7 linked regions of the Callithrix jacchus genome follow. The protein of the gene in region 3 purifies or fractionates together with the protein of the main gene of each other region. This does not show direct contact. Links are inferred from orthologs where the notes say so. Each region holds a gene or a part of one and is shown on either strand. Other genes may lie near its edges. The genes, in order: SAP130, MTA1, SIN3A, SAP30L, ING2, BRMS1 and MTA2.

Region 1 (3,591 bases), on a different chromosome or scaffold from region 3:
ATGCTTAAAAAAGGAATTATACAAAGTGTAATTTTCAGGGGAAAATCTGAAAACATGAGTAATAAATACAGGCCATATTTGTGGGTTATTTTGTTTTATGCTGATAAAGCAGGATGATTAATGACACAGTGAGGCAGAATAACCAACACACGGCCTCCTACCTGTTGTCACTTCGTGTTTCCATGGCCACAGGATTGGGAGAGGCCCGATGTCCGGAGATGGGAATCAGGCTGCTCCTTTCGGCAGGGTAGTCAGGCTGGATCCGAGGAGAAGTGTGTGTGATCTGCTGGGGCACCACCTTGGCTGTAAACAGTAAACGCCAATTCCATGACCACTCTACAGTTGTTTTTTGGCATACCAAAACATTCTTGGCTAGCAGCAATTTTATGAAAGCAAACAAAATAAGCCTGGATTTTTAATCAAAACCAAAAATGAAAAATAAGTACATAAAGTTCAACAGAATTATTTCAACCCTATCATTCACTGATATATTCCTATAGTTATTAAAGCAAGGTTCAACATTAATACTTATACAAAGACAGCAGTGACCAGGCTCTTTTCTCCTCATCTGGCTTTTTAATGACCTGTTTTTAAAAGGAGTAAATTGTTTAAAAAGTAAATAGGCCAGGCATGGTGGCTCACACCTATAATCTCAGCACTGTGGGAGGCGCTGAGGTGGGAAGATCACTTGAGTTCAGGAGTTCAAGGCTATAGTGAGCCATGACTGCACCACTATACTCCAGCCTCAGTTACAGACTGAGACCCTGTCTCAAAATTCGTAAACAAACAAAATTTTGGGTTAAAAAATGGAAAAACCTTAGATTCTACTCTAGGTCCACAGATAATTATAAAACATAGCTAATTAGCAATGAGAAGACCAATTTAATTCCCAAGTCTGTTTCTTTACCTATAAAGAAGGCTTCTTTTTAGATCACTTAATAATTTCTAAGATCCTTTGAATGTCCTGCGATTTTATGTAATACTTCAGAGTAAAATCAAAATCAATAATTAGAGTTTCCTTTTTTTTTTTTATTTTTTTTTGAGACGGAGTTTTGCTCGTTTACCCAGGCTGGAGTGCAATGGCGCGATCTCAGCTCACCGCAACCTCCGCCTCTTGGGTTCAGGCAATTCTCCTGCCTCAGCCTCCTGAGCAGCTGGGATTACAGGCATGCACCACCATGCCCAGCTAATTTTTTGTATCTTTAGTAGAGACGGGGTTTCACCATGTTGACCTGGATGGTCTCGATCTCTTGACCTTGTGATCCACCCGCCTCAGCCTCCCAAAGTGCTGGGATTACAGGCTTGAGCGATTAGAGTTTTCAAATTCAATCTGAGGCTCCAAATGTGTACTCCTTTAAGACTTGCAATCCAATTTTGTATGGAAGTTATAGCTGAACTAGAATACACTTAACACTATTCTTTATAGACCTATTTATTAACAGTATGCCTGGGAATTCAGAAAGAAAAGCTGTGATCTTTTCTTTCTTATTCTGTCTTATCAGGAATACAGAGGGACCCCTTCCATCTGTGTAAAAACCCAAGTTATGCCAGTGAGAGGCACATTAACAACAGAGACTAGACTAGGAGGATACCAATATATTACCTTAAATTCAGAGCATTTAACATCAAAGGTAAGCTGCACAGACCAGCTGTGATGCCCAGCCAGCTCCTATGGGAAGCAGCCGGAGAAGTTTTTGCAAGGTGATAGCAGAGATGCCCATCTGACCACTGAAGATTGCATCTATTGGCCAATGCAGAGAGAAGCTGGCATGATAGGTTTTCCATCAGCGAGGTAAGCAATGAGGGTGGTGAGCAGGGGGCAACTAAGCCTTGCTTTTTCACTGAGGCCAATAAAAGGCAGGAGAAAATGATGCTTCCAATAGGAATAAAGCTGCCATATGACAGGGTAGCTAACCAATTGTTGGTGGTCAGACACACCCCACCCCTTGGCCATTAGTTTAAATCTGCTTGTTTTCTAATTTAAAAAGCCATATAGGCTGGGTGCAGTGGCTCATGCCTGTAATCGAAACACTTTAGGAGGCTGAGGCTGGCGGGTCACCTGAGGTCAGGAGTTCAAGACGAGCCTGGCAAACATGGTGAAACCCGGTCTCTACTAAAAAGGCAAAAATCAGCTGGGCATGGTGGTGCACACCTGTGATCTCAGCTACTCAGGAGAATTGCTTGGACCTGGGAGGCAGAGGTTGCAGTGAGCTGAGATCATACTACTGTACTCCAGCCTGAGACAAGGAGCAAGACTTCATCTCAAAAAAAAAAAAAACCCCATACATTTTCAATAATCAAATAAAAACCAAGGGACTATGAAGTACAGAAAACATTAAGTCTGTTATAATGCTATCTCTAAAACCTATTTTCTGAATAATGTGATCATCAGATTTTGCTTTCTATAATTCTGAGAACATGGTCACATGTTGACCAGAACATGGAGAAAATAAGACTGGTATTCTATTGGAATAGAGACAAAAACCTTATGCTTGTAATTTATCAGGCTCTTTTTCTCTGAGCCAACATAGTCCTAATAAGAATAGCTGAATTCAGATTTAACATCACCTGGAGAGGGAAAGCTCACTTGGAAAAAGCCACTTAGGTGATTTTAATACATATGCTCTACTTCCCAACTTGAAAATCAGGGATCTAGGGTTGTATCAGGTTTCCCTTCTCAACTCAGCTACCTTTCTTAAGAGAGATCCTATTATAATACAGAAATATTGGGGTTAGCATAAAAGAAATTAAAAGTCATATTCAATGTTGCTTTGAAAATCAACGATTGTAAAAATCAATACTAGCCATCAACATGAAGGCCGAGTCAGAGGAGCTACACCACTCCCTGTAAGCTTCTGTCTGAAGGCAGCATGCCACTTACCAACTGGGATGTTTGAGGTGGTCACAGCAGTCGCATGGGAGGAATGGGAGGGCACTGTCATGGTAACAATGGTACTTGTGGGAGCTTGCGTGTGTGACACAGATCCTGAAATAAAGGAAATTCTTTCACAATAACTTCTCTGCTTACGTTACAGATTCTCAAAACCCTGGGAAAACTCTTGGAAAAAGTTAAAAGAATTTCTAGCCCATTGTTTTTCTCTGAGTGAAGGTGAGAAATAAAAAATTAACCCACCACTGTTGCCTCCTTTTTCCCCAGTAGAAGGAAGAGCAGGGCTATGAACTTACCAGCTGTAGTCGCTGAAGGAATGGTGTTGGTTGCCAAAATAGGTGCTACTGTGGCTGCAGCCACTGGTGTGCCAGTACTGAATATCGTTTTCTGTGAGGGAAACCCCACAACACAGTTATAAGAATGTTATCCACTGCATCCAGGCTAAACACAATCAATGCCTTCAGTATTGCCAGGCCCTCTGCACATTTTGCACATTTTTGGTTTTATCCAACAAAGTAGTACACAAGTGGTTCTCCACCTTTGGTTTTACCTGAGCCATGGTATGAAGCTGCTGTTTTGGCGTCCCTAATGCAGGGTGAGATGGTAGTGTGATTCTTGTTGTGACATCCCGTGACTGGGCGGGACGCTGAATACTAATTGCTGCAGATGGTGGATGCTGGATAGACAAAGTTGGCCTACTG
Region 2 (4,221 bases), about 120 Mb from region 3:
GACCCCTGAGGAACAGAGGTCAGGGAACCCTGACGCCGCCACCCTTGCCCAGGCACAGACACAGGCCTCAGTCTGTGGCCAGGGCACTCCGCGAGGAAGAAACAGGCCCTGTTCCCTGCCGGCTCACTGCTTCAGCCAGCTCAGCTGGCACAAAACTGCTGTGGCCGCCACACCTTCCCCTAGCGAGCCCGACCTGGCAGGGCCTTGGAGCAGCCTGCCAGCTAAAATGTGGGATGCCCAGATTAACTATGATCGTCAGATAAGAATCTTCTGGGATAAGCATGTCTCAGGCCATATTTGGGACATACTTACACTAAGAAATTTCTGTTTATCTGAAACTCAAATTTGCCTGGGCGTCCTGTACTTTTCTGTGCTAAATGTGGCGCCTCTATGCACAAGGTCCCTGCAGGCACACAGGAGCAAGCCCCTTCCCAGGCTGGGTCCCTGCAGGCAGCTCCCACAGGCCAGGGCTGGCCGCCCAGACAGGGCCCATGCCAGGCAGCGGGCGACAGACACACGAAGGCCACTCAGGAGACACTGCACACCTTCCTCTGTCTTGCCTAGGGGCTCAAGAATCCAGATGCCCCCTCCCCGAGTGAGCACCAAGACAGGAAGCCAACCTGCAACATCCAGCCCACTGCCACCACGGGGCCCTGCCAGGACCGCAGGACCAAAGCCGGGATTCCCGTCCAGAAGCCAGGCATAAATGCCGCTTCTCCTGTAGGATGATCAGGACAGAGAGGGGGAGCCCTAGTCTTGCCAGCAGGGAGAGGACGTCCTCGGGGCAGCCACACGGGGGGCCTGACAGCCCCGAGTACACCCTGGCCACAGTGACCACGGACTGCACACACAGAAGCAGCCGGATCCCACGCCTGCCTGTGCTGCCAGCAGACGGCACCCAACCTCCGTGCTCCTCATCCCAGGAAGAGAGCAGCGGCATCTCTGCCAGGCACAGTGGGCCCTTCTGCAGCAGCTTCGGGGTCCAGTCCACCCACCCTCACAGCACTGGTGCACTTGGGTCAGTGAGGCCCCAGGACGGGCCTGTGGGCATGGGGTAACAGAGGGTGCGGGGGACAGAGTGTCACGCAGCCCCACTCAGGGCTCCTCCCAAGCCTGTGCAGCACCCAAAGGGGCTGCAGCTCAGCGACGGGATGAGCAGGGCCCTGGCATTCTCAGCCACTGGGCACAGGACGGCTGAGACACAAGGTCCTCACCCACACCAAGGGGAAACCAAGGCACAGGAAGGTGGAGGGGGCGGCCAGGCTGGTGCCAAGTTGACAGGCAGGGGGGCCTGAAGGCCAAGCACGCAGCCACTCGCCACTGGGAAGGCATGAGCCGGGGTCCAGGTAGCCCCAGCCCTAGAGTCCAAAGCCGCCTTCACTCCCCACCCCCATCCTGGGTGGGGGCAGGAAGGGCTCTTCTTGGGACCAATCCCAAAACCATGCGCAGTAGGCCCAGCTGAGCCAGGCAGTAGGCATCCTCTGTACCAGGGTGAGAAACTGGCCCTCATGTCAGGCTGGAAGGGGGTATCCAGGTGGGGAGAAAGAACAAGGAGGAGCAGGCCCCTCCCACGAGGGACCCCGCACCCAGGCTGATCCCTGGGCAAGGGGTGGGCCCAAGCCCACCTGTGTCCACACACGGACCCGGCAAAGGTGTGTGAGGCTGTGGGAGGGGCAGCCGCGGGATGGAGAACAGGCCCACCGCCCCTGCAGAGGCCCGGGGCCGCGAGCTGCTGATGCGGACTGAGCACCCATGTCACAGACGGACGGGTGTAGGGGGCTTCCACCGTCCCCAAGGTCACAGGGCTGGCCGGTGGGACCACACAAACGTCCAAGGTAGCAGAAGCCACGCTCGAGGGACACAGAGCGTTCTGGGCACTCGGGGCCAGGGCAGTGGGGACCAGGCCAGCGCGGCAGTGACCCCAGCTCCCTGCAGCAGCGCAGGCTGCAGGTGGGGGAAGTAATGGGCACCTGCCGAGAGGGTCACCGGCAGGGAGGGGTCTCAGAGTCCCGGGGAGGGGGGCGCTGACGGAGTGATGGAATGCGCGCGACCCCCCACCTCCCTGTGAAAGACCCCACGGAGTCCCAGGCACACGAAGTAGGGCAAGGCCCAAAGCTGCAGGCCCAAGGGGCCCGAGCAACAGGAGGCTGGGCCCAGGGAGGCAGTCCCCGGCCCCGGCCCCGGCCCAGGGGGCCCTCCGGCCTCTCCCCAGCCCTTGCAAAGCGCCTCCCGACTGGGCTGAGGTGAGCGGGAGGCAGGGAAAAGTTTGGGGGGACTTGGAGGCGTGCTCCGGATGCTCGCTCCCCGCGGACGACCCCCGAGGGAGCCCTGCTGGGGGAAGCCCCGCGGCCAGGCTGCAGGAGGGCTCTGGGGAGGAGCGCGGGCCCTCGCCGGGGCTCCCCATCCCCGGGGCGATGCACCGGGGTCCCAGCACGGGCCTGCGGGCCGGGGGAGACCCCACACCCCACAACTCCGGCTCCCAGCCCGGCAGCCGGCGCCTCCCAAGGCCACGTGCTCCCGCTGGGGGCTCCCGGCCCCGGCCCCCCGATGGCCCCGCCGCCCGCGCCCCTCCCCGCCCCCGCGGCCGCCCCCTCCGCCCCAACAGGTGGGCCGCCCCCCACCCCGGCCGCCGCGCCCCGCCCGCCCCCGATGGGGCCGACCCGCGGGGCCATTTTGGGTTGGGGCGAGCGCGGCGGGGGCTGCTCGGGAAGGGCCGGGGCCGCGGGGCGCAGGGGCGGGGGCGGCGGCCGGGGCCGGGCATAAAGGCGGCGCGGCCTTACCTCCGACCCTGTACATGTTGGCGGCCATGTCCGGGCCGGCGGCGGCGGCGGAGGGGCCCGGGGCGGGCGCGGCGCTCGGCGCGGGCGGCCGGGAAAATGGAGGCGCGATGGCGGGGGCGGGGGGCGCCGCGGGCGTTTAAAGGGGCCGCGCTGCTGCCGCCGCCGCCGCCGCCGCCGCCGAGGCCGCCGAGGCCGCGCAGGGACGGGAGGGCCGCGGCGCGGGCGGGAGAGGAAGAGGAGGAGCGGCCGCGGGCGGCGGGGAGGGGCCTCGGGCGCCACCGCCCACCGCGCGGGCCGTTACCGACCCCGCGCCGCCCGCGGCCCGCGCGCCCCTTCCCGGGGCCCGGAGTCCTCCCCGCGCGCCGCTTCCTGGGTGGGCCCTTCCAGCCGCACTCCGAGCTAGATCCTCCCCTACTGCCCTGGGGCCAGGGGGGTCCTCCACAGGGGCCCCTTCCCTGGGGACCGTCCCGGTGCCCCGCAGGTGAGTCCTGCCGTAGCTCTCCAGGGCTTCCTCGTGGTGCTGGGGTCCTCCGCACTCCTCCCTGAGCCCCCCAAGGGCCCTGAAGCTCAGCGGCCCAGGCCTGGCCTCGGGGTCTCCACTCCACAAGTTCCTCCAGGCCTAACCTTTCCCCCCACCCTAGGGAGTGTGTGCCCTTGGCCTTCGCCGCCCAGCCCGCCTGGCACCCTGGACAGGTGGCCATGAGTGCCCTGCTGTGGGCAGGCCCCGTAGCTTGCAAAGCCTCCTTGAACTGTGACCTGGTGAGAAGGCCACAGAGGAGGTGCCTGTGCTCAGAGGCCACCTCCAAAGTCCCCATCTGAGGCTGGAACCCAGCACCTGCCGACCCTGCCAGTCCCAGCAGGGCTGGAGTCCAGGAGGGCCGCACTCTCTCCACAGTGGGGCAGCTGCCTTCCTTCCAGCCACCTGTCAGGATGCCTCCCTGTGTGTTTTCGCGCAGGTCTGAGGATAGGAGAGTCCAGTGACCCAGACGCCCCAGCCAGGAAGAGCATGAGGCGGGAAGGGGGCTTCCCAGATGGAGAGAAACAGGTGGTCTCAGAATGGCTTCGAGATGGGTGCAGCCTCAGTTTCGGAGGTGAGGAAAAGCAGGTGTCTCATGGCTCCAGGCTGCTGATGTGAGCAGCACCGTGGGTCACGGCCCTGCCCGCTCAGATGCTGGAGGTGGGTGCGTGGCTGGAAGGAGCTGCGGTCTGTCTGGGACATGCCTCCCTGCAGGACATGGAGGGAGCCCTGAGGCTGCGGTGCAAGATCTAGGCAGGTGGGACGGACGTGGTCAGGGTGCCGGGGAGAGAGCATGGGGACCCCAGCCCGGCAGGCAGGGAACAGCATGTGCTGGGAGGAGAGTCAGGTGGGGTCCAAGGAGAGCAGGGCCACAACGTTATGGCTGCGGAGCGGACCAGAAAGGAAAGCCCTGCCAGGGTTAGC
Region 3 (3,591 bases):
TCTCGCCATACTTTGTTAAAGCCTCTCTGAGCTTCTCGCCATTCTTCCTCTTTCATCTTCAACCTAGTGAAGTGGGAAGGGATGGAAACAACATATGGGAATTCAGAGGGTTTAGAACAAAGAAATCTGCCAGGTTTACTTTATTTCAAGAAAAGTTAAAGCTATATTAGGTCTGTCAAAATTATTGGCAACTTAGGATGAATGTTATCAAATCTGTCTTGAACTCTGTTTCATGAGGAAATTACTCATCCAAGACTTATTTTGGGGAAATGATTTATCTCAGTCAAATAATTTCCCTAGAACAGTTACTTATCAAACAGCATTCCAAGGAATACCTTTGAGATTTAAGGAAGTCTTCCTTGAAAAAAACAGTTCTCTTCTTTTGCCAGCAAAAATAAAGTTAAACATGTTTCTTTGCTGCAGGATTTTGCAAAATGTTCACAATGCTAATGAAGACATAGAAGTCCAAGAGCAGAGAACGTGCACAGTAATGTTCCTCTGGATACAGTCTGGAAAGTTCTGACCAGAACTGATTTTAATAACCCAGAAGACAACAGACTAAGACCAAAAAAACAGCACTAAAATGGAAGAATAATCAACATCTCAAAAGCCAGAGTTAAATGTTACAGGCAAAAAGAAACCATCAATCTGTGCCAGCTCTTGAGGGAAAGATGAAGGACAAATAAAATCTGGGTATTTGTCAACAATGCAGCAAACAAGAATTAATTTTTACCAGATGATACTTAGAGAGAACCAAGCTCACAGCAAAGGATTCAGTGTGGTCAAGAATGACATAGGGCTGGGCATACTGTGGCCTGTGCTATAATCCCAGCACTTTGGGGAGGCCAAAGCAGGAGGATTGCTCGAGCCCAGGAGTTAGAGGTCAGCCTGGGAAACATAGCAAGACCCTGTCTGTATTTAACAAAATTAACAATTAGCTGGGTATGTGGTGGCGCAGGCCTGTAGTCCCAGATCCCTCCTACCCTGAGGTAGGAGGATCACTTGAGCCTGGGAAGTCAAGGCTGCAGTGAGCTGTGTTCACACCACTGCATTCCAGCCTGGGTCAAAAAGTGGAGACCTTGTCTCAAAAAAAAAAAAAAAAATTAATTAAAAATAAAAAAGATTTTAAGTTAATCCTGAGTGGCAGGAACATGGGTGGCAATTATCTTTTCTTTTCTGTATTTTAAAATACTCCCTCAAACATATACACAGAGCCTTCCACCATGAACCTACAAGATTTGTTCTCTAACGTTGGTCACAAAGAACCCCCAAAAGAAGTTCCACTCTGCATGTAAATTCCAACAACCAGGGCTGGGGAGAAAGAGCGGTCTCATGGGACAACCAGGTTGAAAACAAGAGCCTTATTTAGTGGGACACTGACACAGTAGTGAAGTACACTAAAGCACCGAGGGCACATTTGCTCAGGTACCTTTTAAGGACAATTGGGACAGCGATGGAAGGATTCTTTCTCAGACCATCAATGATGTCAGCTGCTTTATCAGCATATATCCTCTGGAGTGCTTTTCTATGGATGACTTCTGATGTGCCCCCAAGGGTGTTGTCCAAGCGAAATTTGGCTTGTTCCTCAGCAGACAAGCGGGAAAGCTTCTTCTGTATTGCTTCCAGAACCCGGATTGTTGCCAGATTGGTTTCTAAAACTACATCAAGCTGAAGAGGAAGACAAAGGTATGCTTAGGACCCAAATCAGAATAGAATATAGTGGTTAGACGAATAAGGTAGGGAGTTGAACTCCTTGGATTTGAATCCTGGTTCTGCCTTACTAGCTGCATAAGGCTGTTTCCTTACCAGTAAAATAGGGATAACAGCACCTATTACTCTAATAAGCTTCTTTTTGGATTAAATGATATAATCTACATAAAGTATTTAGCACAATGCATGGCACTTTAAGAACCATAGGACTGAGTCAGTAGTCTACAAAGCAGAAAAAAAAAAGAACCATAGGATTAAGTTGGATACATGGTAGTTATTACCTCCATCACCACCAGTGTGTGCCTTGCTTAGGACTACTGATCTTGCACCAGAGGAACCTAACAGGAGATGACTTTACTGATACGTTTCTCTGAACTTTCCTGAATTGCTAAGATCCATTATGAACAAACATCATCAAAACAATCCCAAAAGACCTCTGTCTTGAGAGTTTTTAGGTTTAACTTGAAATATTTAAATATATTCAAATACTTAAATATTCAATAGCCTTGTTCTGCATCCAGTAATAGTAAAAGCAGTGACTATCATACCCTAAGGAGTTTGCTGTTGCATCTGTGGGTAATCATTTAAATTCTTATTGAACTCCTGGCAACCTTTGATTCTAGTTTTTCCCTAGCATAAAATAAGGTTCTTTAAATGAGAAACAGAAAATGAAGTAAATGGGCCAGGTGCGGTGGCTCACGTCTGTAATCCGAGTACTTTGGGAGGCCAAGGTTGGTGGATTATGAGGTTAGGAGATTAAGACGATCCTGGCCAACATGGTAAAACCCATCTCAAAATACAAAAATTAGTTGGGCATGGTGGCGCGTGCCTGTAAATCCAGCTACTCGGGAGGCTGAGGCAGGAGAATCACTTGAACCTGGGAGGCAGAGGCGACAGTGAGCTGAGATCACACCACTGCACTCCAGCCTGGTGACAGAGCTAGACTCCGTATCAAAGAAGAAGAAAAAAAAGAAGTAAATGAGCAGTCTCAAGAACCTACAGCCAAATGTTTGCAGAATTGTTCCCTACGTTTTCTTGTTTTGAGACTCTGGTAGTCATTTTGTCAATAGTTCTGGCCCCTCTTGCTCTCCAAATACAGACAAAAAGGGACTAAATTTCCTGGCTCCCTTATGAATGAATAGGGTCATGTAACTAGTTCTGGCAAATGATTTGTTATGAGTTGAGTAAAAGTAATGTTTATTACTTCTAGGCTGGAGCATTTAAAGGTAAGAGATCTTTCTGGGCTTTCTTTTCCTTCTAGTAACTGGCAACATTCATGATGGTGGCAATCCCTTGGCCTGGGTCCCCTGTGATTCAGACACGCCAAATCCCCTGCTAAACACCAACGTACACGTAGAATGATTAGAAATTAAACCCAATGGTTTTACAAGTCACTCAAATGTGGGAATTGTCTGTACTGAAGCATTACTAACCTATTTATGATTGGTAAAGCATGTTCCTTCAAACTAGCCCACCCCATCAAATCTTAAACACATGGACACCCCACACTTCTTTCATCTTTGCCCTTGTAGTCACAAATGAGAAATGAGGCTGCCTCTCATTTGCAGGCATACCAGTTGAGAAAGGATGGGAACATTCTGTCAAAAACAGATGCCAAGCTCTCCTAACTCATCAGCTAACCCTACTAAATATAAATAACAAAGAAATGTCTTCTTTAGTTTGGTAATACTCCTATGGAAGTTAAAATCTGTCATGATTTAGTTTTCTGCAAATAGCTGCAACTCCTTATAAATGCTGGGGCAAAGATGGCCAACCACCTGCCAGTGGTGAGGCAGCATGTGGCTGTTCATTAAAAACACACCAGAAACAGCTGAAGCAAGTGTGACAAGGGAAAACTGGCAAAGAGCTAAGAGTATTAAA
Region 4 (4,105 bases), on a different chromosome or scaffold from region 3:
CTGAGCAAAACTTAAGATCACCAGGCATCTGCTTCTAAACAAGGAAACTAGTAGCTTTCCCTTTTTCAACAGGACACAAACCCGAAGCTCCTTCTATACCCTCTAGTACTATGAATATAGGAACACTTGCTCACCTGTCACCTAACACAACCTCCGCTCTTCCCTGCCCACAAAACACTGCCCAGCCCTAAATGACTACACTATCCTGGGCTAGTCCTATCGCCCTACGGACCTCCTCTGTCCCCATGTTGCCCAGTCGGAGAGTGGTATGACTGAAGTGCTGGACCAGAGGATCCCCTGCAGCCCTTCCTGGAGGGAAGGTGGTGCCCTGAGCGCCGAAACCAAGCGCAGGGGCTTGGCAGGGCGCAGTCCCTTCGCCGACAGACCCGGGGGATCAAAGCAATAAACTACAGCTTGGAGCCCCAGGGAGGGCCCAAGACACCGCAGCCCTTCCCCATCTCGATCCCGAGATTGGCCCCTGGCCCCCACTCTCAGCCTTCTCTCTATCTCCCCTGCAGCTCCCTCCTCCTGACCGCGGCTCACCTAGTCCACCCTACAGACCGCATCCGGACTTCCCACTCTTCCCAGTGGAGGGGTCGCCCAAACCCCTCGGGTCTCCTTTCCCACTCTCCTTTTCTTTCCGTGCCTTCCAAGCTAGTCCCAGTCTCCACAGTCTGGAAGTTCTCGGCTACCGCCAATATTGCGACTACCTTGCAAGATCCCCCATCACCTCCTCCGCATGTCTTTCGGCGTTATCTGTATGGGGTTGTCCCTCTGTCTTTCCCGCCATGACTGGCTTTTCGTCCTATTTCACCACCCTCCCTCCCATGTGTCTGCGAGTCTTCTGGTCCTGGCCCTTTCGTTTTATTCGTCCGCCCCTCTCGTGAGCACCTCTATCCCCTTTAGGTCCCCTCATATGCCGCTCCTCCAAGTGTGTCCCTCAGCGTCCCCGCCCGCGTCTCTACTTCTGTCTGTCCCCGAATGTGTTCCTCTGTTCCTGGAGTCTGGCCCTCGGTCCAGCCAGGCCTCTGCTCACCATCCCTCCCCGGGACCCGAGAGTCTGCGGCCCGGTTCCCAGTGCTCTCCGGGGTAACTCTTTCCTCTTCCACTTTCTCTACTTTGAACCCATCCCAGCAGAGTCCAGGAAGTAGCCTGGCGCCGGAGACTGGCGGCGGCGACACCCAATGGGACGCGCCAGCGGCAGCGGCGGCCCCGCCCAGAGAGCAAATGTGGCCAATGGCCTCGTGAAGGCGGGACTTCCGCTGTCCCGCGGAGGGCGGGGGGAGCGAACTGTTGTGGTGCGGCGCGTTCGGCTGGCGGCGGCCAGGCGGCCCAGGGGCTGCCGCGGGACTCGGGGAGCAGCCTAGTGGCTGCAGGGGTGGAGTGGGCCGGACGAGCCGCGGGGCCCGGGCGCCGCGGGTTCGAGGCCGGGCCCCGCGCGAGGAGGCCGCGCCACCCCTGGGGAGCTGCCCGGCAGCGAGTTTGCCCCGCAGCCGAAAGAAGGCGGGAGCAGGCGGGGGCCTTCGAAACCCCCTGGCAACGTGGGCCCGGAGTCCTTGGGGAGCGGCTGCTTCCTGGGACGCCCTCCCGGACGCCCCCGCTGCAGGGTTACGGTTCTGGGCCCCCGGCAGAAGGCGCCTCCGGGTGACCCCCGGCGGGGCCCTGCGAGCCGCGGGAGCCGACCCCGGGGCCTCGAGCGGGGAGGAAGGGGGCTTCCGGAGGCAGAGGGCCGGGGGCCGAGGGAGCCGGGCCTCTCTGTCGCGGGGCAGGGCAGCGCCCGGGCTGGAGTCAGACTCTGGGACCCTCTGGTGCGGGGGTCTCAGCGACCTGCCCCGCGGCGAGCGCAGCTGCGGAGTGGCCTACCGGGGACCCTCCCCCAGAGGAACCGGCCCGGGGCGGGGAGATGAACGGCTTCAGCACGGAGGAAGACAGCCGCGAAGGGCCCCCAGCCGCCCCCGCCGCCGCCCCGGGCTACGGCCAGAGCTGCTGCCTCATCGAGGACGGCGAGCGCTGCGTCCGGCCCGCGGGCAACGCCTCCTTCAGCAAGAGGGTCCAGAAGAGCATCTCGCAGAAGAAACTCAAGCTGGACATCGACAAGAGCGTGAGTCCGCCCCCGCCCGGGTCTGGGCCCCGGCGCCCCCCACCCTCTCGGGCCGCTGCCCCGGGCTGCGGTCTGGACTCCCTGGGCACTCCTCGCCGTGGGCCTCGCCGCCCCGGGTCTGCAGAACTGAGGAGTTGGACTCGGCATTTCAAAGGCCGCTCCGGCGCTGACATGCTCTGACTGTGATTCTGCCCAGATCGGGGAGGATGGGGGCGGGGGCTTCGGGACTCCTGCTGCCTGGGAAGATTGGACAGCAGTTTCCAACTTGTTTTATTGGTTTAGATTTTATAGCTGGGAGAGGTGGGTTAATTTTGTTGGCCCTTGAAGGAGCAAGAATAGGAGAGGGGGTGAAGATACCCAGCTCTTTTCCAACTTCTCTCTCCTTCTAGGAACCCTGTTATTCCTTCAGACAGAGAAAGGTGGCAGTTACTTCCCTGGCTCCCGCAGCCTCGGCATCTGCAGAGTGTCACCGAGCTAGCTGCTTCCAAGGCAGCTTTGGAAGTGGGTTTTTCTAGGATGTGGCAGAAATAAGGCCAAAGCCAGGTCTTGGGAAATGGCTCTTGTAGTCGATTTGACTGGAGGGGGAAGAAAAGTCATCAGTTTTCTTAGTGGTAGTTTCTTTTGAAGTAAGAGGGTGGAGAATTAGATTTAAATAGAATTGCCCTGCTCTTTGTGCCTTATTATAGGAAACTTCTCCTGTGATTTCTCCACTTGTAGTTAACAATTCCGAAGCTGTGCCTATTGTCAGCCAATTAAGAACTTTTTAGTTTGACATCTGTTGCTGCAAGCCTTAAGTGATTGATTCATGATTAGGAACTGGAAATGAGTTAAGGGGGTATTTAATATTCAGGCAGACTAAGAGCTTAGGTGGTTAACATCCATTCTCTTTTAGAATCAAAATTTTTCCACACTTGGAAGAAATCAGAGACTGCTTGTTAAACTGAAAAGGAGTGCACCTTTCCTCTCTGATTTTAGGATTGAAACAGGCCTCGAGATAGGAAGTGAGGGTGTCCGATACAAAGGGCACCTAAGAGGCTGGTTAATTTCTTAAACATATTATCTGATTTACTTCCAAGCCCTATACATAACTCTTCATTAAGTCTCTACTAAATACAAAATCTCCGGTCCCTTTTTTTTTTTCTTTTTTTGAGACAGAGTCTCACTCTGTTGCCCACACTAGAGTGCAGTGGCAAGATCTCAGCTCACTGCAACCTCCACCTCACAAGTTAAAGCAATTCTCCTGTCCCTGCCTCCTGAATAGCTGGGATTACAGGCGTTTGCCACCATGCCTGGCTCATTTTTTTATTTTTTATTTCGCGGTGCTGGACGGGCTAATCTTGAACTCCTGACCTCAAACGATCCACCCTCATAGGCCTCCCAAAGTGCTGGGATTACAGACGTGAGCCACTGTGCCTAGCCCCCGTCCTTTCTTCAGACTCTTCCCTCCTAACCCATTTTAAGTTGATCGTTATAATACATTTGCAGCTCTTGCATGGACAGGTGCGATTTTTAAGTGTTTGGGAGAAAGTTAATGACTTTCTTACTACAGCTTTCTATCGATGGATGCATGAATGGTGATTACCTAAAAATAATCACCAAGGTGGTCCCTCATTAGGTCACATGTTGAGGTGAAATATGGCAATGAATTCATCCTCTTCGTAACACTGCCTACCTTCTGTGTATTGTTAGAAGCTGCTTTACTTGATCAACTTACAATAATATTTTCCAAGAAATAGAATCTTCCATCCCTTTTAGACCACTAGATCCCTTCCCATCTGAATGATTTTGCTACTGCAACTGGGGTTCCTTTTATTAACCCATTGACTCTACTAGAAAACCTGTGTTGAGCTATGCTGATCATTTCACACACACTGTCTAGAAGAAAGACAGCCCGAGCCTAGCACTAGTGTTCCCAAAAGTACTTCTGAAGGAGTCAGGTTTCCAGGTGGAATCACTCACAATTTGTTTTAAGGTGGTGTGAAGTCATTATTTCTGAAAGGGATT
Region 5 (4,083 bases), on a different chromosome or scaffold from region 3:
CTTTATTTCTGTTTGACATGTAAAATTTCCTCTCGATAAAGAGCTAGATTTCTCTTGCAAGCCGAAGGCTAGTTACTATTCCCAGCTGTTTCAAAAGTGCTCTAAATAGGTCACCATTCCGGTGCACCCACGCTGCAAACTGCATCTAAGATCCAAATTTGTCGCCACTCACTCACATTTTCTTTTTAACTCCAAGGTAGTACTCACAATAGGGCTTGTTTACATCGGCATCCATCAAAATTCTCCAGGCATTCGTTCTACTGACACCATTTCTCTCAAAAAAGTCTATCTAAGTAAAATCAGCTCCTCCGCCGGGCATCTGGTTTACACTACACCGAAGTGAAACCCCACTAGACCCCGCAGATCGCGGGGCCGAGGGCCCGCCCGCTGACTAGGTATCTACTAGCGTCTCCACCGCCCCGGTCCCCTCCGGTTGTAGTCACGGGACAGGATTGAGCAAAGACTCCCGTAAAGCTGCCGTGTGCCCCTGGAAGCCTCGCCGACGTCCCATGCTTACATGATCTGACACCCCCAAACGTAGTTGTTTTTAGGGACCAATGCGTTGGCAGGCAGAGGCCGCCCCGCGTCTCTTCCCCCTAAATGACACAGTAGATTCCCGCGCAGGGCAAGGGCCAGGAAACCCGCAGGGCACACGACGCCGCCGGGGCCGGAGGGAGCACGGTCTACCTCTCCGATCAGCTCCGCAGGGCCGGGCGAGCCCGAGGGCCCGGCAGGAGGCGGGCGGCAGCCCCAGGCGAGCTCAGAGGCGGCGGGAACGCAGCCGCCGCGCATGCTGGGAGCCGCCCGCCGGGGCGCGCAGTCCCGCAGGCCTCGCTCCGGGTAGTCAGAAAAGGGGCCGCTTGCTGCTCCTTTGCAGGCTCGCTCGGACCCGCGCTCGGACCGCCGGATGGGGAAAAAGCCCGTGAGGCCAGGCGGAGCGAGCCGGGAAGAGCTGCCCCTCCCTTTGGGGAGGACCGCAAGAAGGACCAAGCCACCTCCCCTGTCGGGTCCCATTCAGACTTGGGGCGCAGAGGCGGGCTCCCCGGGCTTCCCCTTTAAGGGAGGCGGGGCGCGGCCTGCCGTTTGGCCGCCCCCCTCGCGCCCTCCCCGCTAGCCTTGAGCCAGCAGACCAATCGCCCGGGCGGCGGAGCGAAGGCGGGAGAATGCGAACCCTTCGGTAGGCGGTAGGGGCGGGGCCCCGCCTCATTTGGAGCGAGCCGTGCGCAGGCGCAGAGGCGGCCGCGGGCGGAGGGGCGGGGGCAGGCCAGCGGGAGGCTCCCCGTCAGGCACGGAGGGTGCCTGGGGACTGGCGGGCGGCGACGGGCTTGTCATGGGGATCCGGGCTGCGAGACGGCACTGGTAGCATCTGGGGACTCCGAGAGGGACAGGAAGTGTCAGCGCCCGTGACTCCGGCGCCGGCCCCGCCGAGGGGATCCCGGCTGCTCCGAGCCTGGAGTTTCGCCCCGCCCCTGGGCTGGTGCCGCGGGGGCGGAGAGTGAGGGCTGCTTTGGGGGGGAGCGGAGGTCGGGGAGCGCGGCCGTGCCCTCTCGAGCGGCTGCGGGGTCCCCGCGGCGCCGGGCTGCGGAGCGAAGGGCCCGCGGCGGCCGCGGCCGGTGCATGTACGGCTGCTGGATGCGGAGGCGGCGGCGGCGGCGCTGAGCGGCAGGATGTTAGGGCAGCAGCAGCAACTGTACTCGTCGGCCGCCCTCCTGACCGGGGAGCGGAGCCGGCTGCTCACCTGCTACGTGCAGGACTACCTTGAGTGCGTGGAGTCGCTGCCCCACGACATGCAGAGGAACGTGTCTGTGCTGCGAGAGCTGGACAACAAATATCAAGGTAGGGGCCGCGGGGCTACCGGCCTCGGAGCCGGTGGCGGGGAGCCTGCCCGGGGGAGTGCCACCTCCCTTTCTCCCGTGACAGTCTCGCCGAGCGCACCGAGGGTCTGCTGAGCGGGACGGGGAGGACTGGAGACCGGGTTCGGGCCCTCCCCTGCCCCGCGGTGGGCTAAGACTTCTCTGGGGTCCCCGGATTGGGGGTGGGGGCCGCTCGTCAGCCCCCGCTGCAGACCCAGCGGCTGCAGCTGCCGGGGAGGGGAATCAGCCATTTTAAGCAGCAAGCATTTGTTCTGGCGCTCGCCCGCCCCGTGCCGCAGACCTTGCCGCCCCGGCCCGGGATTGTGCAGCCGGGCAGGGGCCAGAGGGAGTGAGCGGCCGGGCTCCCGCTGATCTGCCGGGCGCGCTTCCCCACCCGACTCGCCCCCACCCGGGAGCGCGGGTGCTTTGGAACGTGCCGGGGGAGGGGGCGAGAGGCCGTGGAGGCGGACTGAGGGGGCCTCCCTCGGCGCCCCAGCCCCGGCCCGGAGGAGCGCGGTCCGTTCCGCTCTCCCGCCCCGGGAAAGTTCCGGATCGCCTAGCGCCGCAGCCCTGGCCCAGCTCCTCCGGCCAATGGTTAAGAGGGGAGGGGTCCCCCGCCCGGGAGGAAGAGAGGGGCGTGTGTGGCGGGGAGGGCCCGCGCCGGGGGCGGGGCCTGCGGGCGTGACGTAGGCGTGGGAGGGGCGCGGCGCGGATTCTCGCGGGCCTGGAACTTGGCTGGTAGCGAGAAGGGCAGTAGCGTGCCGGCTGCTGAGGAGGGAATCGGGGCGGTGCGGGGCGTTGGTTCGGCCCTAGCAGCGTCCGAGTCGGGGGTTGTAGCATGTTTGCGGCGATATTTCCAGGCTCTTCCAACCCGTGAGTCAGGACGGGGATCGGCAGCTCGGACGGTCGCGGATCCTGGCTCCGCGTAAGTTCCGGGACATGTGTCACTTCCGGGCCTCTGGAGGATGTGGGTTGGTTGACTGGGCAACCGCCTGGCGTCCCCGAGCCCCTCCTCCTTGTACTTCAGTGATGAGGCGAAACCACCCTTTGCGGGCCGACCCGGGAAGCCGGGACAGAATCGACCTTCCTTATAGCCTTATCATCTACTATCGGTTGTGCCCCTAGAAGGGCAGTTTAAAAGGGGAAATGTGTTGCGCCTAATAACCCTGAGTCGAGGAACAGACCTTGAACATAGTATGGAAACAGCCATATGGACTTTAAAGATAACTTTCTGAACCCATTCTCTATTTTTGTAGACACGTCAGTAATCCTATAGTTTAAAAGTCTCTGAGGAATCAGCTTCTTGGGTGACATTTTCTGACCTGTAGCATGTTAGAAATTTAAGTGTCTCTGATTTTTTAGTTTATAAATTTATCTGTTTTCTGAATCCGTAGGATTCGTAAGGCCCGAATCCTGTGTTGCAGGGGGCGGGGAAGGGAATTAATACTGATACGCCAGGAACAGACCATCATATAAGTATTTCTTTTACAGATAATATTTACAGAGAGTTTAAGTAACTCGTCCAGTTAATTAGATGTAGACTATATGGCTCCAAAGCCTGCTACTTTAGATGCACATCCTTGTTTTCAAACAATTTAAACTTTAAAAAATAGGGGCCGGGCGCGGTGGCTCAGGTGTGTAATTTCAGCACTTTGGGAGGCCGAGGCGGGTGGATCACGAGGTCAAGAGATCGAGACCATCCTGGTAAACATGGTGAAATCCCGTCTCTACTAAAAATACAAAAAATTAGCTGGGCATGGTGGCGCGTGCCTGTAATCCCAGCTACTCAGGAGGCTGAGGCAGGAGAATTGCCTGAACCCAGGAGGCGGAGGTTGCGGTGAGCCGAGATCGCGCCATTGCACTCCAGCCTGGGTAACAAGAGCGAAACTCTGTCTCAAAAACAAACAAACAAACAAACAAAAAAAACATTGGAACTGCCCAAGGGGATTTCTAGAGGTATGGAGTACATACATGAATGGTAACCTAAACGTGATATATGTTTAATAATTGTACATTGAACCTTTCTAGTTTTTCAAATAACTCTTAAGTTTGTAAAGCTTGCAGGTTTTTACATTGTTTGAAGGCACATGTTTCCTTTCACGAGAGTTAAGCTGTTTGAAGTTGGTGAGGGATGCTATAATTTGTTGACAGGGAAATCTGCTTCCGGATCATCTATAATTGTCCTGTATTAATAGTTCTGGTAACAATATAGTATGCTTTACAAGATTGA
Region 6 (3,105 bases), on a different chromosome or scaffold from region 3:
AGCGCTGGGACTAGAGGTGTGCACCACTGAGCCCAAGCCATTTCTGTTTTCCAAGGGACCATACAGCCCAGGGAGACCCAGGACCCTGTAAGAAACTGCTGACAGCTGGATTTGCCTGGACATGGTCACGTGACACCAAGCAACCACGAGTTCGTCTATGTGACTGTCCTCCATGTCCTCTCCACCCCCCACTCCAGGTCTGGAGCTGATCCTGTCCACTTTTAGGCCACCTTGGGTGAAAGGATACCAGAAACAAGAGGTGCCTTCTTCCTCTTGCTGGGCGGCAGGGAGTCCCAAGACTTGGAGCTGCCTTTGGCGTGCAATTTGTCGTCCCACCACTCTGCCCCCAGACCCAGAGTCAAAATTGGGGTGCTGGCCCACAGGATGCTCCCTCTTTTGTAGCCTCTGCCCCCACCATGGGCCAGCCTGGCCTCACCTCCCTTGCCCCATCACCACCCTGGGCTTGCCATAGGAAGCCCCTTAGGGCTATTCAGGTCCCAAATGCACAACCCCGGGAAGAGGCCACTGTACTTCTTGAGCCTCATCTGTTTAGTGGACAGTGGGATAATGACAATTCCTGCCACCCCAGGACTCCACATGAACACTGGTACTGTGAACATGGAGGGGACTACAACTACTATATGGGACTGCATGTTACATTGATACCTGTTTTGGAAAGAGAGCAGGGGCAGAAGAGGGCAGGGGGACCCACTGCCCGAGCCCCCATTGTATGCCAGGCCCTTTCCAGGCCTGGTTTCCTTCAGTCCTCACACTGATCCCAAGAGGCAGGTCGTCTGACTGTCCCCTTGTGCAGTTAGGAAAGCTGAAGTCCAGAGCCGGGTGGGCGTTGACAGAGCCAGGCTCTGGCACTCACCGGAGCTGAGGTCCAGGCTCTGGCGGTCCTCCTCCAGCCTCTGGATCCGCTCCTGCAGCTCCCCCTGCAGCGTATCGTAGAGCAGCAGCTTCTCACTCTAGAAGACGGGCAATAGCTCAGCAGGAGGAACAGGAGGAGTCCACTGCAGGCCTTGCACCCGCCTCACCCCGTATGCCCTCAGGCCCACCTCCAGGTGCTGTTTGGCTCCCTGCAGCTCACACTCGTACTTATTCCTGATCACATCCAGACAGAAGCCCTTGTAGATCCCTGCAGAGGGCGGGAGGAGGGGCCCTGCTTGTCTAGGGAGCCCAGTGCCCACAAAGGAGGGCTGAGAGCAAAGGGTGAGGCTGGGCAGGAACGAGAAAGGAAGGGGACAGGGTGCCATGGGTTCTGGGAGGAGAATAGGGCACAGAACCACCCACAGACCTGCCACCTGAATGCGAATCTTGAGGCTCCGCTGCAGCCCCCCAAGTGGCTCTGTGTATTCAGGGGCTCTCTCAGCCCCCACTTCCTCCAGCCGCAACCGCAGCTGACTCAGTCGTTCCCTGAACAGCCTGGGTGGGGAGAAGGCAGCAGTGAGCCCATTTGCTCACCCATCGCTCTTGGACAAACACATACCCAGCACCCATTGCACAGCAAGACCCATGTCAGGCGTGCACTCCCTGGGCACCAGCCATGCCTGCCCAGTTCCAGGCCCGCCACCTCCTCATCCCATATCCTCGCAGACCCAGCCCAAGGTATTCCCACACTCACTTCTCCTTTAGCTCCGAGAACTGCTTCTCTAGGTCCAGCATCTCACTGACACACTCACAGCGGCGCCGCTCATAGTCCTCATCATCCATCTCTGGACAAGAGGCCAGTAAGGGGTAGCTCTGGAGAGGCGTGGTGGATACCCACGTGTGTGTGCATCTGCATGCGTGTGTAGGGGCTGTGTGTGCATGTGCGTGCTTGTGTGTGTGTGTGTGTGTGCGCGCGCGTCCAGGCTCTGGCAGTCCTCCTCCAGTCTCTGGCTCTGCTCTTGCAGCTCCCCCTGAAGCATGTTGTAAAGCAAGCTGGTGCAATCTTGTGTGTGTGTTTGTGTGTAGACGCTGTGTGCATGTGTGCTTGTGTGTAGAGGCTGTTTGTGTATATGTGTGCATGCTTGTGTGCAGAGGCTGTGTGTGTGTGCATGTGTACTTTGTGGAGGCTGTGTATGTGTGTGCTTGTTTGTAGAGGCTATGTGTGTGTGCGTGCTTGTGTGTAGAGGCTGTGTGGGTGTGCATGTGTACTTGTGTGTAGAGGTTGTGTGCATGTGTGCTTGTGTGTAGAGGCTGTGTGTGTGTGCATGTGTGTAGGGGCTGTGTGTGCGTGTGTGCTTCTGTGTAGGGGTGGTGTGTGCATGTGCATGTGTGCTCGTGTGTAGGGGCTATCTGTGCACGTGCATGTGTGCCTGTGCACAGGGGCTGTGTATGCATGTGTGCGTGTGTGGGAGCTGTGTATTTGTGTAAGGGCTGTGTGTGCTTATGTGTAGAGGCTGTGTGTGCATGTGTGCTTGTGTGTAGGGGCTATATATGCACGTGCATGTGTGTGTGCTTGTGTGTAGGGGCTGTGTTTGCGTGTGTGCTTGTGTGTAGGGGCTGTGTGTTGTGTGTAGGAGCTGTGTGCATGTGTGCTTGTGAGTAGGGGCTGTGTGTGCATGTGTGTAGGGGTTGTGTGTGCATGTGTGTGTGTGTGTAGGAGCTGTGTGTGCATGTGTGCATGTAGGAGCTGTGTGTGCATGCGTGCTTATGTGGAGGGGTGGTGTGTGCATGCGTGCTTATGTGGAGGGGTGGTGTGTGCTTGTGTGTAGGGGCTGTGTGTAGGGGCTGTGCGTGCGTGTACATGCATGCTTGTGTGTAGGGGCTGTGTGTGTGTGTGTGTGTGTGTGCAGGGGCTCACCAGAGCTCTCCTCTTCTGACTCCGTCTGGCTGCCGCTCCGCTCCTCCTCACTCTCTTCCTCCTCCCCATTCATCTCAGCAGCCGAATCACCCTCTGCTTCCATCTCTTCTGTGTCTTTGCTTGGAGGCTGGACAGGCATCTGGACTCTGGGAGAAGGAATGAAGCCATCACTCACAGCTGCCCTCTGTTCAGAGGGGGAAAGAGGCAGTGGGGAGCTGAACCCGACCAGACCCCAGATTGGGACAGCCAGGAAGTGACTGGCCTGGCCACACCTTGAGCACATACTGGGTAATAAGGGTGCAAATGGCCATCTG
Region 7 (4,171 bases), on a different chromosome or scaffold from region 3:
CTTTCACGTCTACGGTGAGCAGGGGCGTGGAACCCTGCTGGAGGGGCGGGGGACAAGGTGGAGCCCAGTTTGGGCTCGAAACGCTGGGCGTGTGTCGTTGGGTGGGAGTCCAGAAACCTGAAGATCCAGCCCAGGAGGCCCCCCCCCCCCGGCCCTCGGGACCGGGAAGGCTTGCCTGGAACGCGGCAGTGGGTGGCCGTGGCTGCCGGAGCGCCTGAAATAGTGCAGCTCTGGGCCGTGGGTGGCAGTGGGGAGGAGGTCGGGCTGAGGCCGGCCGCTGTGCTAGGCGTGTGGCCGGACGGCTCCGATGGGACCGACATCAACTCCCTGTGCCGCTCCCACAATGAGCGCGTGGTGGCGGTGGCTGACGACTTCTGCAAAGTGCATCTTTTCCAGTACCCGTGTGCTCGTGCCAAGGTGAGGCCGCAGGGGCCTCCGGGGCGGGGTGGGGCGGGACAGGACGGGTGGGCCCGAGGGCTCCGCCGCCACCGCAACTCCCTTCCCTCCTGTCCAGGCGCCGAGCCGCATGTACGGTGGCCACGGCAGCCACGTGACCAGCGTCCGGTTCACGTACGACGACTCGCACCTCGTCTCGCTGGGCGGCAAGGATGCCAGCATCTTCCAGTGGCGAATGCTGGGAGCAGGGGGCGCGGGGCCAGCGCCCGCCACGCCCTCTCGAACCCCCTCCCTGTCCCCCGCCTCCTCCCTTGACGTTTGATCTCGGCCTGGCGGACCAACTGGCTGAAGGCGTGGACCCGCCCCGCCCCGCCCTAGTTCCTTTAGACCCGGGGCTGACTCCTCGACTGACTTCCAGACATTCCCGATCGCGCATTTCCCTGGAGGGCGCGAACGGCGCCCCTGCACACACTGTTTAGACCCGCTGGCTGAGCTGGGCAGCCCCAGCCTAGGCCTTGACTCCCGCTGCCTGCTGAGGGGCAATAAACGAGAACCAAAGTCGCCTCCCGGTGCTTTTGTGGGGCGCTGCTGGGGGCCTCCGGGGCCTTGTGGGGTGGGGACGAAGGAAAAGAGGCGTGCGGAAAGGGTAAGGGAGCGTAGACCATTTATGCAAATAACAGGCAAAGCCGCTTGCAAATAACCTGGTTAAGCGCGAAGGCGCGCGAGTCTTTCGGGGCGGCAGGAGAAGCTGCAGGGACCCAGCGAGTACACAGTTAAGTCCGACTTCTCTCCCGCCCTCGGAAAAATGGGGTGGGTCCGAGCTGCGACGGAAATAGCCGAGTGCCGGGCCGCTGTTGGCCGACAGGAGCCGAACCTCTTCCGGAAGTAGCCGATCTGCGGGGTCTCGCTCTACGACCTAAGCCGAACGGTGGGCCTTGTTCTCCGGATCGGCCGAAGGTGTTCCGGAAGGAGGCGAACCCCGAGGCGGGCCGGGCAAGCCTTCCCTGCGGCCGGCAGATCCCAACGACTAGTGGGACTCGGCGGGGGCGGGGGTAGCTGGAGCTTAGCTCTGGCCTGGCAGGAGCCGAGCTCGTTCCGGAAGAAGCCGAGCGGACCGGGGCCGGCCTCAGCGTCCCGGGAGTGGGGCGATATCTGCCGCGGCGACAGCGCGGGCCGGGATGAACCGCGACGGCTGAGGCAGTGGAGGTGCCGGCTGCGCGGGCCCCACTGAGACTCCCTTGAAGCTACAGCCCCACGCTCGGGGCTTTGCCTCGAGCCGAGCCCTGCCTCCGCGAGCCTTCCGGACCCCTTTGTGCGGCCGGAGGCGGCGGCGGGAACGGCCATGGCGGCCAACATGTACCGGGTGGGGGGTGAGTACCGGGCGCAGGGGTGCGGGGCCCGGGGCGGGAGATGTTGGGGTCGGGACCGGAGGGACTCCGCACCTGGTGGCGCGGGGCGCCGCGTCTGGGGCAGCGTGGACCCGAGCGCGGACCGGAACCGGAACCGGGAGACTGGGAGCGGGGAAGTGAGGGTGCGGGAACGGCGACCGCGACGCGGCAGGGTGCCGAGACTCCCGGAGAGAAGCTGCGGGCAGCCCCGACGGCACTCTCAGGGCTGCGTCGGGGGCTCCCCCGGGTACAGAGTGGGCTTTGGAAACTGGTTCAGAAGGAGCTGACCTGGTAGGGAGGCGACGCGAGGGGCTGGGGCGACGGCTTTGCCACCGCGGGGGAGCCGCCCGGAGATTTCCTCTTCCCAGGCGTTATTGTGCGCCTCGGTTCGAAAAGGTGGGGGCCCAGCGCCAGCGTGAACAATGACTTCGCCGCGACTGGGCTGCAACTCATAGCTGAGTTGTGGGGACGCAGGGGAACCCCTGCTTCTTGCCTGTTCCTTAAGGCTCACTTTTCTGTGAAGGATCCGATTTTAGAACTAGGCGTGGTGGGGATGGGGAACATCCTTATTTTCTCTTAGTCTTTCCACTTTCACATCTCAGCGCCCTCTCTACCTGGATCTTTATCTTCTTTTGGTCCACTCAGGCCAACTTTCTCTCCTACTCTCGTGCTCTGTGTCTCCCGTCTCGTCCTCTGATCTTCGTGGTTCTTCCCCCTCCCCTCCCTTACAGATTACGTCTATTTTGAGAACTCCTCTAGCAATCCTTACCTGGTTAGACGGATTGAGGAGCTCAACAAGGTGAGTGGAGCAGAATCCCTCTCCCTCCCTCCCCCAGTGGTCTCTTTCTTCTGAGGTTTCTAACTTCTGGTGGAAGAGAGGACTCTATACTAAGTATCTATTCATATTCATTCATTCATTCATTGGATGTATTCAGGAAAGGCTATTGAGAGCTTAGCAGGAACTTACTATTCTGTCTCTTGGGGGCAAAGGAAAGGGATTTGGAAGTCTGTCCTTGAATGTAAGTCTTTACTCCTATTTTCTTGGGATTTTTTATTTAGGTTCCTCTGAAACTTACTGTTATTTGTCTCTGTGCATTTCTGTACCCAGATGATCAATTTTTCACTGCTACATTTTTTTTTTCTCTCCTTAGACTGCAAATGGAAATGTGGAGGCAAAGGTTGTCTGTCTTTTCCGGCGCAGGGACATTTCTAGTAGTCTCAACAGCCTGGCTGATAGTAATGCCAGTGAGTACCTTCATCTCTTTCTTTTCCCCCTCCCCATGATCTGAGGCCTGGGCATGTCCCTGCAGGAGTTTCTCCTGGTAGCATGCCCAAGGCAGAGGTGTGAATTTAGGGGTGGGAAATACCTGGTCTGAGGAGGGAGGCCTGTTTTTACACGTTGGGGTTGGAAGCAGGGTGGAGAGATTGTGATAAGGAAAGCTATAATATGGTTTGTGTATGAGTGTAAGAGAGAGATGATAATGTTTATTTAGGGGATGAGGATGAACTTCAGAGAAGCAGAATGCTTTTCTAAAGGGGGACAGTTTGGTGTACATTAGAACAGTAGGTGGTGACTGAAGGTCAAGGTGAAGAGGAAGAGATTGTTCTGAGAGGCCCGCATAACAGGGAAGTAGGCTCATTTTGTAATCACAAGGTGGTGGGAATACCTGGAAGCTGGAAGATGGTAGGAAAGTTTTCTTGTACTTTTCATTTCTTACCTCACCCATTTCCCGGCCCCCACTCCATTTTACATCTTTCCCTTTTCATTTTGCCCTGTCTTCATTCTCTTTAAGTTCTCATCTTTTTTTTTAAAAAAAAAAAACAACACAAAGAAACATGTTTTCCTCAGCTTCTTTTTCCTTTCCTGCTTTGATTTTCTTTCTCCTTCCTTTTGTTCCACCTTTCTAAATTTTCCTTTTTCAGACTGTTCTGGGTGAGAAGGGGTTAAGAAGGATCCCGGCTTACCAAGTTCCTTGGCCCTTTAGGGTTTCCAGCCCCATCTGGCAGGGGCTGACCTTGGCCTTGTCCAATCAGAATGAGTGTTGGGGGTGTGGTCCCCCTTGCCTTAGCACAGGGTTTCCGGAGCACATAGGCCAGGGGTGGAGCCTACCGCACAACCCCCCTTCTCCCTGAGGTTGGGAACAATGCACCAATGAGCCTGGGCCTGAGGCTCTTCTGTCCCCTCCCACGTTGGTTGGCGCCTAGCCAGGTTAACCCCTTCCACAAGGTTTCAGGGCAAGCTGCAGCTCCTTGGGGAGGAAGGTGTTGCCACTAGCTTGAGAGGTCTTGTCCTTGAAAACCCCAGGAACTATTATTAGAAAATGAGGGATAGTTAGGGCCACATGTGATGTTTTAGAGCAGAATCTCCTGAAATTGAAAATAACTGT

What was found.
Region 1: the proteins of SIN3A (region 3) and SAP130 purify together in Homo sapiens (affinity purification with mass spectrometry; 4 studies listed by BioGRID, with this or other methods). This does not show direct contact. The link is inferred for Callithrix jacchus from reciprocal best matches to the Homo sapiens genes SIN3A and SAP130.
Region 2: the proteins of SIN3A (region 3) and MTA1 purify together in Homo sapiens (affinity purification with mass spectrometry; 3 studies listed by BioGRID, with this or other methods). This does not show direct contact. The link is inferred for Callithrix jacchus from reciprocal best matches to the Homo sapiens genes SIN3A and MTA1.
Region 4: the proteins of SIN3A (region 3) and SAP30L purify together in Homo sapiens (affinity purification with western blotting; 4 studies listed by BioGRID and IntAct, with this or other methods). This does not show direct contact. The link is inferred for Callithrix jacchus from reciprocal best matches to the Homo sapiens genes SIN3A and SAP30L.
Region 5: the proteins of SIN3A (region 3) and ING2 purify together in Homo sapiens (affinity purification with mass spectrometry; 5 studies listed by BioGRID and IntAct, counting the BioPlex papers as one, with this or other methods). This does not show direct contact. The link is inferred for Callithrix jacchus from reciprocal best matches to the Homo sapiens genes SIN3A and ING2.
Region 6: the proteins of SIN3A (region 3) and BRMS1 purify together in Homo sapiens (affinity purification with western blotting; 4 studies listed by BioGRID and IntAct, with this or other methods). This does not show direct contact. The link is inferred for Callithrix jacchus from reciprocal best matches to the Homo sapiens genes SIN3A and BRMS1.
Region 7: the proteins of SIN3A (region 3) and MTA2 purify together in Homo sapiens (affinity purification with mass spectrometry; 4 studies listed by BioGRID, with this or other methods). This does not show direct contact. The link is inferred for Callithrix jacchus from reciprocal best matches to the Homo sapiens genes SIN3A and MTA2.

The regions. Positions count from the first base shown.
Region 1 is NC_133507.1:36,408,538-36,412,128, reverse strand, and holds part of SAP130 (histone deacetylase complex subunit SAP130), read right to left. Parts: intron 3,589-3,591; coding exon 3,441-3,588; intron 3,278-3,440; coding exon 3,187-3,277; intron 2,987-3,186; coding exon 2,882-2,986; intron 304-2,881; coding exon 162-303; intron 1-161. UniProt on the Homo sapiens protein: Acts as a transcriptional repressor. May function in the assembly and/or enzymatic activity of the mSin3A corepressor complex or in mediating interactions between the complex and other regulatory complexes.
Region 2 is NC_133509.1:140,274,784-140,279,004, reverse strand, and holds the start of MTA1 (metastasis-associated protein MTA1), read right to left. Parts: upstream 2,877-4,221; 5' UTR 2,809-2,876; coding exon 2,781-2,808; intron 1-2,780. Other genes in the region: uncharacterized protein LOC128928889, read left to right, coding at 2,877-3,261, 3,737-3,871. UniProt on the Homo sapiens protein: Transcriptional coregulator which can act as both a transcriptional corepressor and coactivator. Acts as a component of the histone deacetylase NuRD complex which participates in the remodeling of chromatin.
Region 3 is NC_133509.1:22,463,591-22,467,181, reverse strand, and holds part of SIN3A (paired amphipathic helix protein Sin3a), read right to left. Parts: intron 1,669-3,591; coding exon 1,430-1,668; intron 64-1,429; coding exon 1-63. UniProt on the Homo sapiens protein: Acts as a transcriptional repressor. Corepressor for REST. Interacts with MXI1 to repress MYC responsive genes and antagonize MYC oncogenic activities. Also interacts with MXD1-MAX heterodimers to repress transcription by tethering SIN3A to DNA.
Region 4 is NC_133503.1:53,653,813-53,657,917, forward strand, and holds the start of SAP30L (histone deacetylase complex subunit SAP30L), read left to right. Parts: upstream 1-1,295; 5' UTR 1,296-1,903; coding exon 1,904-2,101; intron 2,102-4,105.
Region 5 is NC_133504.1:7,879,343-7,883,425, reverse strand, and holds the start of ING2 (inhibitor of growth protein 2), read left to right. Parts: upstream 1-1,232; 5' UTR 1,233-1,667; coding exon 1,668-1,836; intron 1,837-4,083. Other genes in the region: uncharacterized protein LOC108590761, read right to left, coding at 688-1,014. UniProt on the Homo sapiens protein: Seems to be involved in p53/TP53 activation and p53/TP53-dependent apoptotic pathways, probably by enhancing acetylation of p53/TP53. Component of a mSin3A-like corepressor complex, which is probably involved in deacetylation of nucleosomal histones.
Region 6 is NC_133511.1:123,419,111-123,422,215, forward strand, and holds part of BRMS1 (breast cancer metastasis-suppressor 1), read right to left. Parts: exon of another isoform or gene 2,938-3,105; 5' UTR 2,931-2,937; coding exon 2,792-2,930; exon of another isoform or gene 1,719-2,791; coding exon 1,628-1,718; exon of another isoform or gene 1,429-1,627; coding exon 1,301-1,428; exon of another isoform or gene 1,142-1,300; coding exon 1,062-1,141; exon of another isoform or gene 972-1,061; coding exon 875-971; exon of another isoform or gene 341-874; coding exon 248-340; exon of another isoform or gene 1-247. UniProt on the Homo sapiens protein: Transcriptional repressor. Down-regulates transcription activation by NF-kappa-B by promoting the deacetylation of RELA at 'Lys-310'. Promotes HDAC1 binding to promoter regions.
Region 7 is NC_133511.1:119,871,035-119,875,205, reverse strand, and holds the start of MTA2 (metastasis-associated protein MTA2), read left to right. Parts: upstream 1-1,360; 5' UTR 1,361-1,738; coding exon 1,739-1,766; intron 1,767-2,515; coding exon 2,516-2,583; intron 2,584-2,935; coding exon 2,936-3,029; intron 3,030-4,171. Other genes in the region: EML3 (echinoderm microtubule-associated protein-like 3), read left to right, coding at 1-14, 287-417, 515-718. UniProt on the Homo sapiens protein: May function as a transcriptional coregulator. Acts as a component of the histone deacetylase NuRD complex which participates in the remodeling of chromatin.